Drosophila melanogaster: one gene and its partners. The protein of the gene in region 1 interacts with the protein of each later gene in a pairwise test. Each region holds a gene or a part of one and is shown in the gene's direction. Other genes may lie near its edges.

The links. Proteins that work in one complex are often made in the same cells at the same time.
Region 2: the proteins of RpL34b (region 1) and CG9593 interact in a two-hybrid assay, tested with the Drosophila melanogaster proteins (one large-scale study listed by BioGRID).
Region 3: the proteins of RpL34b (region 1) and CG3386 interact in a two-hybrid assay, tested with the Drosophila melanogaster proteins (one large-scale study listed by BioGRID).

The regions. Positions count from the first base shown.
Region 1 is NT_033777.3:9,399,364-9,403,158, reverse strand, and holds RpL34b (ribosomal protein L34b), read left to right. Parts: upstream 1-1,932; 5' UTR 1,933-1,963; exon of another isoform or gene 1,964-2,136; 5' UTR 2,137-2,152; coding exon 2,153-2,217; intron 2,218-2,280; coding exon 2,281-2,722; 3' UTR 2,723-2,922; downstream 2,923-3,795. Other genes in the region: CG9356 (uncharacterized protein), read left to right, coding at 1-316, 386-535; CG8132 (uncharacterized protein), read right to left, coding at 686-1,518, 1,574-1,592; CG34117 (uncharacterized protein), read left to right, coding at 3,220-3,525; Or85f (odorant receptor 85f), read right to left, coding at 3,608-3,661, 3,724-3,795.
Region 2 is NT_033777.3:15,800,428-15,804,350, forward strand, and holds CG9593 (uncharacterized protein), read left to right. Parts: upstream 1-1,847; 5' UTR 1,848-1,854; coding exon 1,855-1,860; intron 1,861-1,912; coding exon 1,913-2,342; intron 2,343-2,399; coding exon 2,400-3,112; 3' UTR 3,113-3,226; downstream 3,227-3,923. Other genes in the region: nsl1 (non-specific lethal 1), read left to right, coding at 37-594.
Region 3 is NT_037436.4:679,965-684,278, reverse strand, and holds CG3386 (uncharacterized protein), read left to right. Parts: upstream 1-1,808; 5' UTR 1,809-1,916; intron 1,917-1,959; exon of another isoform or gene 1,960-2,005; intron 2,006-2,085; 5' UTR 2,086-2,422; intron 2,423-2,492; coding exon 2,493-2,906; intron 2,907-2,968; coding exon 2,969-3,421; 3' UTR 3,422-3,617; downstream 3,618-4,314. Other genes in the region: ebd1 (earthbound 1), read left to right, coding at 1-1,213.

The DNA.
Region 1 (3,795 bases):
GGTTGAGGAGTTAGCCCGCTGGAAAGCCGATCTCACGCAGAAGAATCAGCTATTGAACGAGTCAACGAAGCAACTGCTTCATGCCACCCATCAGATCCGCGAAATTCAGCTAGATATGCTTAAGCAACTGAAGTTCCTGGCCAAGATTCGTTTCCTCAACCTGCCCGCCACCGATGTAATCAGCCTAAGTGCCGAAAACCTTAACATTCTCCAACGCATGGTCCTGCACACTGGCGTGGGCATTCCCGAGGAGACACTAAAGTTGTCCAGCGCCAGCACAAGTCCACTTTGTGAGGCGGAGAAGTACGCGGTTAGGGTAAGTACAGCGATAGTTAAAGTGATTCAAACATCCAGTTAATGGTACACCTTATTACCGTCCCACCAGGCCTTGGAATTCATTAGTCAGCCCCTGATGGCCACCGATGAAGCCATACGAGCACTTTTCGACCAGGCCCAGCGACCCCACTACGTGCAATCACCTGCATCCGAAGTAACTCCTGCCTGCGATAATCAGCAGCTAGATAAAATGCAATAGTTTTTCGACAGAAATCAATGTTATATGTGTGTGTAGGCCTAATAAATTTTATATACAATCAAATAACATAAATGCAATGCTTTAAAGGTGCTTAAAACGACAGATTCTTGAATTTTTGAAGATTTCCCATTTCCCATTTAAAGCAATCCTTTATTTGGCCTTCCTTTCGGTGGCGTACAGATCTAGACGTCTTTGCCCAAAGACGGGAATCTGCTGACGCACCTGCTCCACCTCGGAGAAATCTATATCGGCCACCACGATTTCCTCGCCTTCACTGGCACTCTGCTGCACCTTGGCCCATGGATTCACCACCATGGAATGGCCATAGGCTACATACTCGGCGCTTGTGTCACGGGCTGGTGATGTTGTGACCACAAAGAGTTGGTTGTCATTGGCACGGGATCGCTGCAATAGCTCCCAGTGCAGTGGACCAGTGGTCATGTTGAATGCAGCCGGATAGATGATCATCTCGCAGCCTGCGTTGCGATAGAGCCTCGCCATCTCCTCGAATCGAATATCGTAGCAGATGCCGATGCCAATCTTGTGGCCATCTACGTTGATGATGGTGAAATCATTGCCTGCGGACAGCGTTTCCGACTCCTTGAAGCGAATGCCACCCTTGACATCTATGTCAAAGAGATGCATCTTGCGATGCTTGGCCACAAGGTCACCAGTGGGTGACCAAACCGTGCAGGTGTTGTAGATGGCATCGTTTTCGCCCAGTTCAGGGATTGTTCCGCCCACGATGTACACCTGGTGCTTCCTGGCCAAATTGGAGAGCTGTTGCGAGGTATAGCCATCGGGAATGGTCTCGGAGTACTCCCGAAAGTACTTGGTGCCGTATGGAGCATTAAAGCACTCCGGCAGAGTGATCAATCGGGGTTTATGCTCCTTGACCGCCGCCTCGATTTTGGTGACGGCGTTTTGGACATTGGCCACTTTGTCCTTGGAACCCTTGAGCTGCAGCAGCGCCAAACGCATGACTATTAAATAAGAAATATTTAAGTGGATCTCTTTGAAATTTTGAGAAACACTTACTGTTGCTAGTTTTGCTCATATTGCTGCAATTAAATGTTATCTTTTCGCGGTTTGATAACAGATTTCATCGCAAGCAAAACAACAACAGGTTATCGCAGGGGCGTAGTAAAAGGGATCAATATTTATAAAACGCATTATTTAACCTCATATTAATACGCATATACTTAGCCAAAGCATACTTAACCAAAAGAATATAGCATTAAATTGTGTATAAAATCCTAACTTTTCTAACAAAAAATAAATAATTTGCAACCCCCATAAGCCCATGTTTTCATGGCAATCTGGCAAGGTCTGCAGTGCTCGAAAGTGTCGTACAGTGGGCAGCGCAGCCAAGTTCACGTCGTGCGCGAACAGGGTTGCCACCTTTCTTTCTAGTTTCGTCTCTTTGAGGTATGCACGTGTTCAATTAACAATTTCACGCAAATTCGCCGAAATGTGTGAAAAAATTGTGAAAATATACCACCAAATGCAGCCCAAACTGCACCCACCCTAGTGTAACTCCAAACTAATAATGATTTTCACCGCTTTTGCACATGTAACCCACGAATCGCCACGACAAGCAGCAACAACAACAGCAAAATGGTCCAACGTCTGACGCTCCGGAGACGCCTGTCCTACAACACACGCTCCAACAAGCGGCGCATGTAACTATCCAACTGCAATACACCTCACCAATATGAAAAATAACGCACATTTGCAATTTACAGTGTTCGCACGCCCGGTGGTCGTCTGGTTTACCAGTATGTGAAGAAGAACCCCACCGTGCCCCGTTGCGGCCAGTGCAAGGAGAAGTTGAAGGGTATCACCCCCTCCCGCCCCAGCGAGCGCCCCCGCATGTCCAAGCGCCTGAAGACCGTGTCCAGGACCTACGGTGGAGTGCTGTGCCACAGCTGCCTGCGCGAGCGTATCGTGCGCGCCTTCCTCATCGAGGAGCAGAAGATCGTCAAGGCCCTGAAGAGCCAGCGCGAGGCGCTCGTCAAGCCGGTGAAGGCCCCCAAGGCCAAGCCCGAGCCCAAGAAGAAGCCCGCTGCTGGAGCCAAGGGAACCAAGGCCGGTGCCGGCAAGGTCACCAAGGGTGGTGCTGGCGCCAAGGGAGCCGCTGGCAAGAAGCCCGGCCAGAAGCCAGCCGCTGGCAAGCCCAGGAAGTAAACAGCCCACGCAACGAGTTCGGTGTACTGCTAAATAACTTTTAAAATAAATTGGTTTTTTCCAACTGGATTTACTGTTTGTATTTTTAGTTTGACAGTCCAGTTGGATTGTGTACTTTACTTATTGGTTGTTCTTGTTTTCCAATCAGACCGTTCGACTTTTAGACATTTATAGCAAAACGATTTCAAAAGTGAGAATATAATATAATTAAAATAAATAAATTTTAAATATTTCGTTTGTCACAGAGTTTTACTGTGCTCGTAGTCAAACTTTTGATGATTTTTCAGATTTATTGATAATTATAAAAAATAAGATCCAGTGTTATTTTTCAAAGTGTCAATTTGTGAGAGTGATCACTGTATATTCATTGTATGACTAGGTGGCAACTCTGTTGAGAACAGCTGTTCGGCAGAAGCAATTGGAATTTTCTTAAAAATCACGTAAGTCGTTGATTGTTTATAGTTTCTTGCAAATGCAATTAATATTTTGTGTTTAGAATGGCGGGAACCAAGGTGCTGCGCTCCCTGCTGCACGAATTGCGCCAGGCATCTCCAAATGGCTGCATCAAGGACTCTCTGGCCGCGCGCTACATTTTGGCGCAATACAAGAAGTTCGCCACCACGGAACAACAATTCTGCAAGGCGCGCAACGAAGCGACTTTCCTGGGTCAAACCTACCTGACCTACCTAGCCAGCCAGCGCCGGTACTTGGAGCTCTACAAGGAATATCACGGAAGGGGCGAGAGATCCGTAAGGGATACCGCCGATTTGGTGGGCTTCAAGCTGCCCTCGGATCCCAAGTGATCTAGTTATATAGAAAGATAGTTACTAGCGTAGTGCGATTAAAGCGTCCCGATTTTGCAAACTCCGTGCTTGTGTTTGCTGTCTACTGAATCATCTGCATGAGCATGGTTATAACCCGGTAGGAGACGCTCATCAGCTGCAGTTGAAAGCGAAATTCACATAATGTCATATAAAGTATACGTGGTGTTTGCATTTTACCTGTTTAAAGGTGTCCAGCGAAATGGACAGGTAGCCCATGGCATTAAGTTCCACGGGCTGCTGCGCCCTGAT
Region 2 (3,923 bases), 6.4 Mb from region 1:
AGTTTTCTAATTGAAACCCTTTTCCTTTTTGTATAGTCTTACACTGTGATGCCATCTCCCTTTGAGCCCTTGAACTTTCCGCTCTCCGACGAGGTCTACCAGCGATTGCTAGCCGAGACATATGCGCCGCCCAGGTCAATGACCGTCTCAAAGCGGGCCAAAAGCAAGTCGATATCCTCGAACTGTGATGGTGGGAACACCTTCACAGGAGGCAGCGGCAGTCGGCGCAGCAGCAAGTGCAAGATTAAGCCAAATGGTCAGCTAAATGGCCAGCTCAATGGCCACCCTGCGGCGGCGAAGTTGAACGGAATAGATGCGGCAAATGAAGGTGGAATTTCTGAGCCGGAAGAGGAAGAGATGCTGCTAGAAGACGAGGATGACGACTATCCCAAGCATCATCTGGCGCCGCTGGATGACGAGGAGCCGTCGACACCAGATGTCGAGCATGAGCTTTACGACTCGGCGATCGATGCCTATCTCGCTGATCCGGAGGCGCTAGAGGAGGATATGGGCGAGGATCCCTTCGAGGACGACGATCCCAACGATCCGGAGTGGAAGACACGGACCGAGGGTGTTCGCAGCAGACGCATCTAAGACCAAAATCCAAAGTTTTCGTTATTTAAGACTTTTAAACGATTTGTCAATTTTTAAAGCCACAACACACACACACCCACAAATCAGCCGGAGCAGACCAACAAATTTTAATTTGTTTCAAACGGTTTGGTTTGCACTCACAACAGCATTGCGTACTCTAAGCAATCGTCTAAGTTATTTAGTTCTACGAGCCCACAACAAAAAAAAAAAACACAGATACGCTACACACAAGTACACAACAAAACAAACACGAAGCAGAAGCGAAAATCTTGAAACAATGTAAATACAAGCTAAACGCATAGAGCTAAGCAGTTACTGATAATTGTACACTAACCAACGATCAAGAAATCATCGAACGCACCCACCACGTCGCGTGGACGTGGTGGATGCGGTCGGTTGGAGCACTGGTCAGCGGTTAAGTAGGCACCACAACAAACCCACTTGGGCTTCAAGCCGAAGTGCGCTAATGATAAAAATATTAAGCTAATCTAAATATATATATATATACGAAAACATTTAAATATATACCATATGCATACATTAACGTGTAAATGCCGAAGAGAGCAGTTAGCTGAAGATTTGAAATGTATTCGCACCTGCACACAAACGATATAACAACTAAGCTATAGAAGGCAATTATCTGTAAATTGATCAAGCTTAACCATTAGCTAACCAACCATTAGCCTTTAGCCCAGCAAGTAATCAGTCGGCGTTGGGGCCGTGTTTTTCTTATATTTTAAAAAGTTTATCAGCTGTAAATGTATAGAGCGGAATTCGAAAGGCGGTGTGTGAAAATGGATCGAACGATAAATGTATGTATATGTATTTTAGTTGCTTAGGCGTTTTCATTTCTACCTTATAAACACGTTAGCGGCTAATTGTAGCAATTAATACTATAAAACACAAAAAAAAAAACAAAAACAAAAAACAACAACCATAAGGAAACCTAGCGCGGCTATGTCCGTGAAAATGTTTATTCTAATTTCGTTTTTACTATCTACTGCGTATGTTTCACCGCAAAGCTAGAATCCAGTTTAATTCGTTAAAACTTGAAAAGAAATACAACAGAAATGTGAAGATTAACTAAGGACCGCAAAAATACAGAATTATATATTCTTAAAAATGACACATGGAGCGCCAGAAGTGATATGCTGGGACCACCATCGCCAGATGGTGGAATCTGGCCAACATGTGTGTCGAATAGTTTCACTAGCTGACTTCACCAGTTGACTTCAGTGGGCGATTGAACTTGGAATCGAAATGATGGTAAGGGCGGACAACGCACTGGCGGCTTTAAGGATACTGACTCCCTTTCAAGAAGTTTTCATTGCTTTTTCTGCTGGCCTGGAGCTGTGTGTTTCTGGGAAGCACGGGTTCTCTAAATCGGATTGGGAATTCTGATATAGGCTTTAAATCCTTGGAGGAGCTAGTCTTGATTAGAAAGACTTTGGCTGCACAGGCACTAAAGCTAAGGGGCTTGGAGATAAATCTGCATCGCGTGCTCAGCAAGGTGGTGTTACTCGCCGATGCAGTTGTGCAAGTACCTGGAAGATACTCCTCCAAAGAAGATCCCCTTGCCGTTCTATCTGAACGTCTAAATTTGTTGCTGGAGCGACTGAACCAGGAAGAAAGAATATCTACGAATTTGCTGGAACTCAAAGAGTGGTCAACTAAAGTGTGCCAAGAACCTTCCCCAAGCCAGACCTTACCAAAGGAACTTACTGAAGAAAAGGACGAGCCGAAAGTGGGCAAGTTATAGTGTATCATTTTCAAGTTTCATCGACTCACCCGGTGACATTTTCCAGACTTTTACCAGCCCGCCAAATCCGATTGCCATGAGCTTGACGAAGGTGTCCGGGTGGATGGCGTCTATAGGTTTCTGGTTCCGGAGCGCAATGAAGTCCAGCGTGATTTGTACGAGCGTTATTGCGCCTTCGCCACCGACGGCCCCGCCTGGACAGTGATCCAGAGTAGAGGCGGCTCCTTCGATCCGCACGAAAATTTCAATCGCAGCTGGGACGAGTATCGCGCGGGTTTTGGTAACTTATCCCGAGACTTCTGGTTTGGCAACGAGTTCGCGCACAAGATTCTCTACCGCGACGATCATGAGCTGAGAATTGAGCTGCAGGAGGCAGGGGAACCGCTGGATTGGGCGGAGTATCCACTCTTCTGGCTAGACAGCGAGAGTTATAACTATCAGCTTTCGGTGGCTGGTGAATTCCGTGGTTCACTACCGGACGCTCTGGAGCAGCACAATCGGATGGATTTCAGCACTTACGATCGGCGAAGGAACCACGCGAAATCGGCAGATTCCACCTGTGGCGAGGATTACGGTGGTGGCTGGTGGTTTGATCGCTGCACACAGTGCAATCTGAATGGAGAACATGGTGTCCACCAGAGAGCAAGTCCAGCCATTATCTGGATGAACTGGCGGACCGGGACCGATAAACCGAAGAGCTCGCGGATGATGATTCGACCCGTAAATCCCACTCCGGGCGATAACTCTGATGGGGATTAGGCGGCGGAGAACTGGGAAATTTAAATAGCAATTCCAATCAAATGTTGCACGTATTTCTGCAATTGAACGTTACCGATAGTTGGCACTGCAAATAAACGTTACCGATAGGAATCGAATTTACTGGCACTTTCTAAATAATTCTGTGTTTATTCCTGATTTAAGCTGTTTCCATTATTATGAAAATTGGAAGGTATTTTCGTATCATAGGATTTCCTTAATTTGTCTAAAATTTGAGGAAAGCAGGAATTTATCGAGTATTATCGAATGAATGTGAGTGAAAGCAAGAAAAGTCGCGAGCTAAGCATTATGGGGCGCCAAATTTATGAATTTCAATGATTAAAATGAAATATGTTTAAAATGATCTTGGGGCAACTGTTTACAAAATTTATTGAGTCATTATTATAATTATTAAGATAACGTTTCTTCGACAAGAATTGCACACAATTTACTCAAGTTTACAATGTAGTTACCACACAATGGCAAAGTTTTGCTTTTGGCCACAAAATAACCTTGCACGAAGCTAGTTATAACCCAGCGACCTTAGATTATTAATAAAATTTACCCTAAGATTATAATAATTTCATTAAAAACTGCAATCAAAGTTTCCCTTTTTGTTCGCATTGGCGCTCAATGTGGCCGCAGAAAAATACCGCAAAACGACAGTAATAAAAAAAAGTACTAAAATGTACACATATGACTAAAACCAACGGCCAGTCGTCGATAAATTTTCAAATCGTTCGGTTGCGGGCGGATGATTCTTGATTGTTTTAGTCCTAACAACATTGCCGCTCGGACGCATTGCGGCATTTTA
Region 3 (4,314 bases), on another chromosome or scaffold:
CAAGGACTTCAGCATCTCCGACGGACTCATCCAGAAGATGGCGCTGCAGTTCAAGAGCTCCATGAACCTGGCACATTTCTTTCCGCACCAGGAGTGGTGCGACAAGTTCAGACGCACCTACAGCATCCAACACAGCGACACCAGACTGTTGAAGATAGGCTACACGCAGGGCTACTCGGTGCAGATCAAGGACATCGTCAAGGACGTCATGTCGGAAAGCATGCCGGAAAGTGGGCCACGGAACGGCGAGGAGGATGACGAAGAGGTCAGCTTGGGCAGCCCGGTGAGCAGCCATCCCCGCAGCTATGTAGAAGACGAGGATGACGAGGTGGATGTCGACGGTGGCGGTATTAGCGGCGAGGATGATCTGGAGGAGGAGCCTGATGTCAAGCCCTCACTAAGCGAACTAAATTTTGCCAGGGCTCTGAAGCCCTTGCCGCCTCTAGTTAGACTGCCCCTCCAAGCTAACACACCGCCAGGCACCACTCAAAAAGTTCTCCTGGCCACACCCATTGTTCCGACGCAAGCGGGCGGACAGCCCATGACCATGACCATCATACCACTAGCCACGCTCGCTCAGAGCATCACCAAGATTCCTGCCCCACAGCAGCAGGACAAAGGACCGGTGGTACCGCCGCCCAAACTAGAGATCAAGCAGGAAAAGGAAATCAAAGTGGAGCCCAAGGACCCGGAAGAGCTCCTGGCGAAGCAGCCCGAGGCGGAGCTCCAGGAGAACGATGACCGAGCACAAAGGGAAAAGGATCTTGAAATTCCGCCTACAGTGCACATAAAAGTGGAGCCAGAGGCTGAGCTGGAATCGGAACTGGACCAAGACCCAGCGGATCTCGATGAAGACGCGAACAATGGTCGCTCCAGTGTCACCTCGCTGGCCGAGGTTCTGGCGGCCAATGTGGAGGACGAGATGGAGTACATCGAGCAGATGCGGCAGCGAAAGGTGAGTTCGCCTGCGGCAGTTGAAAACTCGCTGAATCCTCGCCAGGGCACCAAACGTCGCTATGAGTCCGCCCAAGACGATAACAACAATGGGGGATCCGGCCAAGAAAGTGGGTCCAGTGTCATCAGCTGCGCCGATGCACGCAAGTACCTAAAGCTACTCGAGGAGTTTGCTCTGTACAAGGAGAACTACCGGCTGATTGAGCTGATCACACGAGCCGATGAAGTGATGCGCGAAATGGATGACAATGTGCCGTAGAATGCTCCAAACAGTGAGCGCCACATGAAGGAGAACGAAGAGGAGGAGGAATAGCTGCAGCCAAAGAGTGTAATCTTTGCAAACTGATGCATCTAGAAGATGCACATCGGTCGGATGCAATCAATCATTAGATCTAAGGTGAACATAATTTGTATTCGAACCAAATAAACGCAATCAAACCAAGTTTCTAGTGAGTAAATTTGATGTGGTTATAAAATATTGTGATGAATGAGCTAATGTCAATTGTCAATTGGTCTGTTGGAACTATTTTATACTATGCTCCCGACTGTAACCCTATTATTTTGACCTGTGTTGTATGTTATAACAGCTACATTTCCTTCCACACATTCTCGCCAGAACAAAAAGTCGGCTAAATATACGCGCTAATTGTTTTTTTTTCGAAGTGCGCATGTCTGCCCTTAGTTGGGCTTCTTCTTCTTTTTTTGCCGGGCGGGAGGTCACCCACACACACACACACAGGCGAGCCAGAAGAGAGAAAGAGACAAAGCGCATGTAAATGAAAATAACGGAACAAAGAGGTCAATCATTGAATTCTATCTTGTTAAAGAGAGAATTTCCCTGATTCAGAGTGTATTTTAAAATTTTCCCTGATCAGTGTGAAATTTTGGAGAGCGAGTTAAAATAAATTCATACTTTGCTGATGATTTCCTTATGCCGACAATCTTGATTGGGGCTAAGATGGGTAAGTGCGCAGGTCTGCCCTTAGTTAAAGTCTGAATATTTGCTGCTTTCCTCTCCCGCACACACGTGCACCTAAATTGCGGGGGAGCTGTAAGTCATTGTTTAATCCATATAATTAAAACTAATACAATAAGAAAATCGGATTCAGCTACGTTTTTGTTTTCAAGCAGTATGTGGGAATCAAATGATTTATTGTGCATTTCCACACGCACACATGCACATGCCCATCGGGTCAGTCGGCTAATCAATCACTCAATCGAGACACATGCACACACACCCGCCCGTTTCGGCTCTACATCAATTCAGTTTGTGATTGTCGCTTGAGGAGAGCATAACGCCGGTCGTCAGGTGGTGGAAATAAGTTTATACATATATGAGCATCCAGATCCAGAGCAACTACAACAATCAGTGGGAGTATGTGAGGTGTTTACCAACACTAGACGCTAGAAGTGGCAACTCTGGCCAACTGTAATCAACAACAGCTGATTGGCTTGAACAACAGAAAAAGTAAATATTTATGTTTATATGCCAATGGATATGGTAATTAAATGTATCTTTCTGAATGCTGTGCTGGCAGATGGCAGCTGCACTGCCAGATCGGTTTAGTGCGGGCAAACGGCAGTTCTGGCGCGAGTTTCTGGCCCTTTATCAGGGAATGCCGGAGCTGTGGGACGTCCACCACCTCAATTACCGGAACAAGGAGCTGCGAAACCGGGCGTATGAGTTGCTGGAGAGGAAACTACGGGAGATACAGCCGAACGCTACGCGCACAGAAGTCGGCAGGCGCATCAACATATTTCGCACCAATTACAGGCGGGAGCAGATGCGAATCCTCAAGCAGAAGGAGCTGGGGCTGCACTCCGATCTCTGTAAGCCGACGCTCTGGTTCTACGACTACATGGGATTTCTCCTCACCCAGGAGACCTTCCAGCACAGGACCAGAAAAGGTCGGGGCGGCAGACAGAAGCAAGATTTTCGCAGGGAAAAGGATGTAAGATTACATTCTCAATGATTGAATGATACTTAAAAATAAATAAATTGTGTACCTCATAGGACAAATACCCCTTGAAAAATCCAGATCTCAACACGGAAAGCGTTTGTGATTGGCCGATCAAGGATGATAACGCTTTCAACTACCAGTCCGAACCGACCGCCCCGCAATCCGAAGAGGGTTCCCTGCTCAGTCCAAAATTGGAGATCATAGAGCCGGAAGAAGGGCAGTGTGAAGTCAAAGAGGAAAATAGTTTGGGAAATTCATTGGAAACGAAAGAACCCACATCCTCGATTCAAACAGATCCCGAGAACGAACGAGGAACTGCACCCATGCAACTCAGCGAGTCCTCCGAAGTTCTGGCCAGATCCTGGGCTATCCAGTACGAGGAAATGTCCCCCACGCAACGGATTCTGGCACGAAAGGCCATCGCAGACATCCTGTTTGAGGGATGCATGGGCAACCTGCGAGTAAACCGCGGCGAACAACAGAGCACCGTGGCAAATCATTTCTAAACCCTTGACTTCTACTATTACGTCATTTGATATTCCTGCATTTGTCACTCTACGATTTAATGAACATCTCATTGAAGTCTTCAAAAAAACAGAACTAAGCATACGGCTCTAAAGAAAGTTCGAAATCACTCAGGCCATAATAACGATGAACGAGGCATTGCAAACTAGAAAACTAGAATTTAAGTACTACAAATACAAAATATGAAATGTCTCTTTATACAAAAAATTTCATCCAAGTATTTAAGTTTCCCGCCAAATCATAACAGGGTTGGAAATCGACTTTCACTCAAACGAATGTTTCACTCATAAAATGTAGAGATGAGAGTCTTATGTTGTGCGAACACGAACACCCAATGGGGTAATAATTTATTAAACGTTTTCTCGGAACTCGCTCATAAAATGTCATCGATTATTTTTACGTTAAATTAAAGAGTTGTTTAAGTTTTAGGTATGTTTGGTTGTTGTTTACCTGAGCTATCGGATGTACAATCCACTATCTAATTGTCACGCACACATCTCTCCCCTAATATTTTCTATCGTATGTGGTTGAAGTGGATAAAATAAGATTCGCCGTTACCTGAATTTGGTCAAGTGCTGCGCAGGCGCTGGTCCTTAAAAACCATTTGCGCATCGATTTTGAAGGAGTAAATATCGTAGGAAAGAAAGAAACTAATGCGATCTGTGGTAGGTGTTCTATATTTGGCTACATTCTACATTCCGCTTAGACTTCTTCGAGCCATTTGACTTCTAAAGGCGAACCTTGAAGACACAGTGAGACCTCTCAGGATCCGCACTGTATTGCTTGCAAAACTGCAAAAACTAATAAGGCTTATCGATAATATTTTCAATATGTGTGATGCAGCAATTGTCAATAGATATTAGATTGCACATTT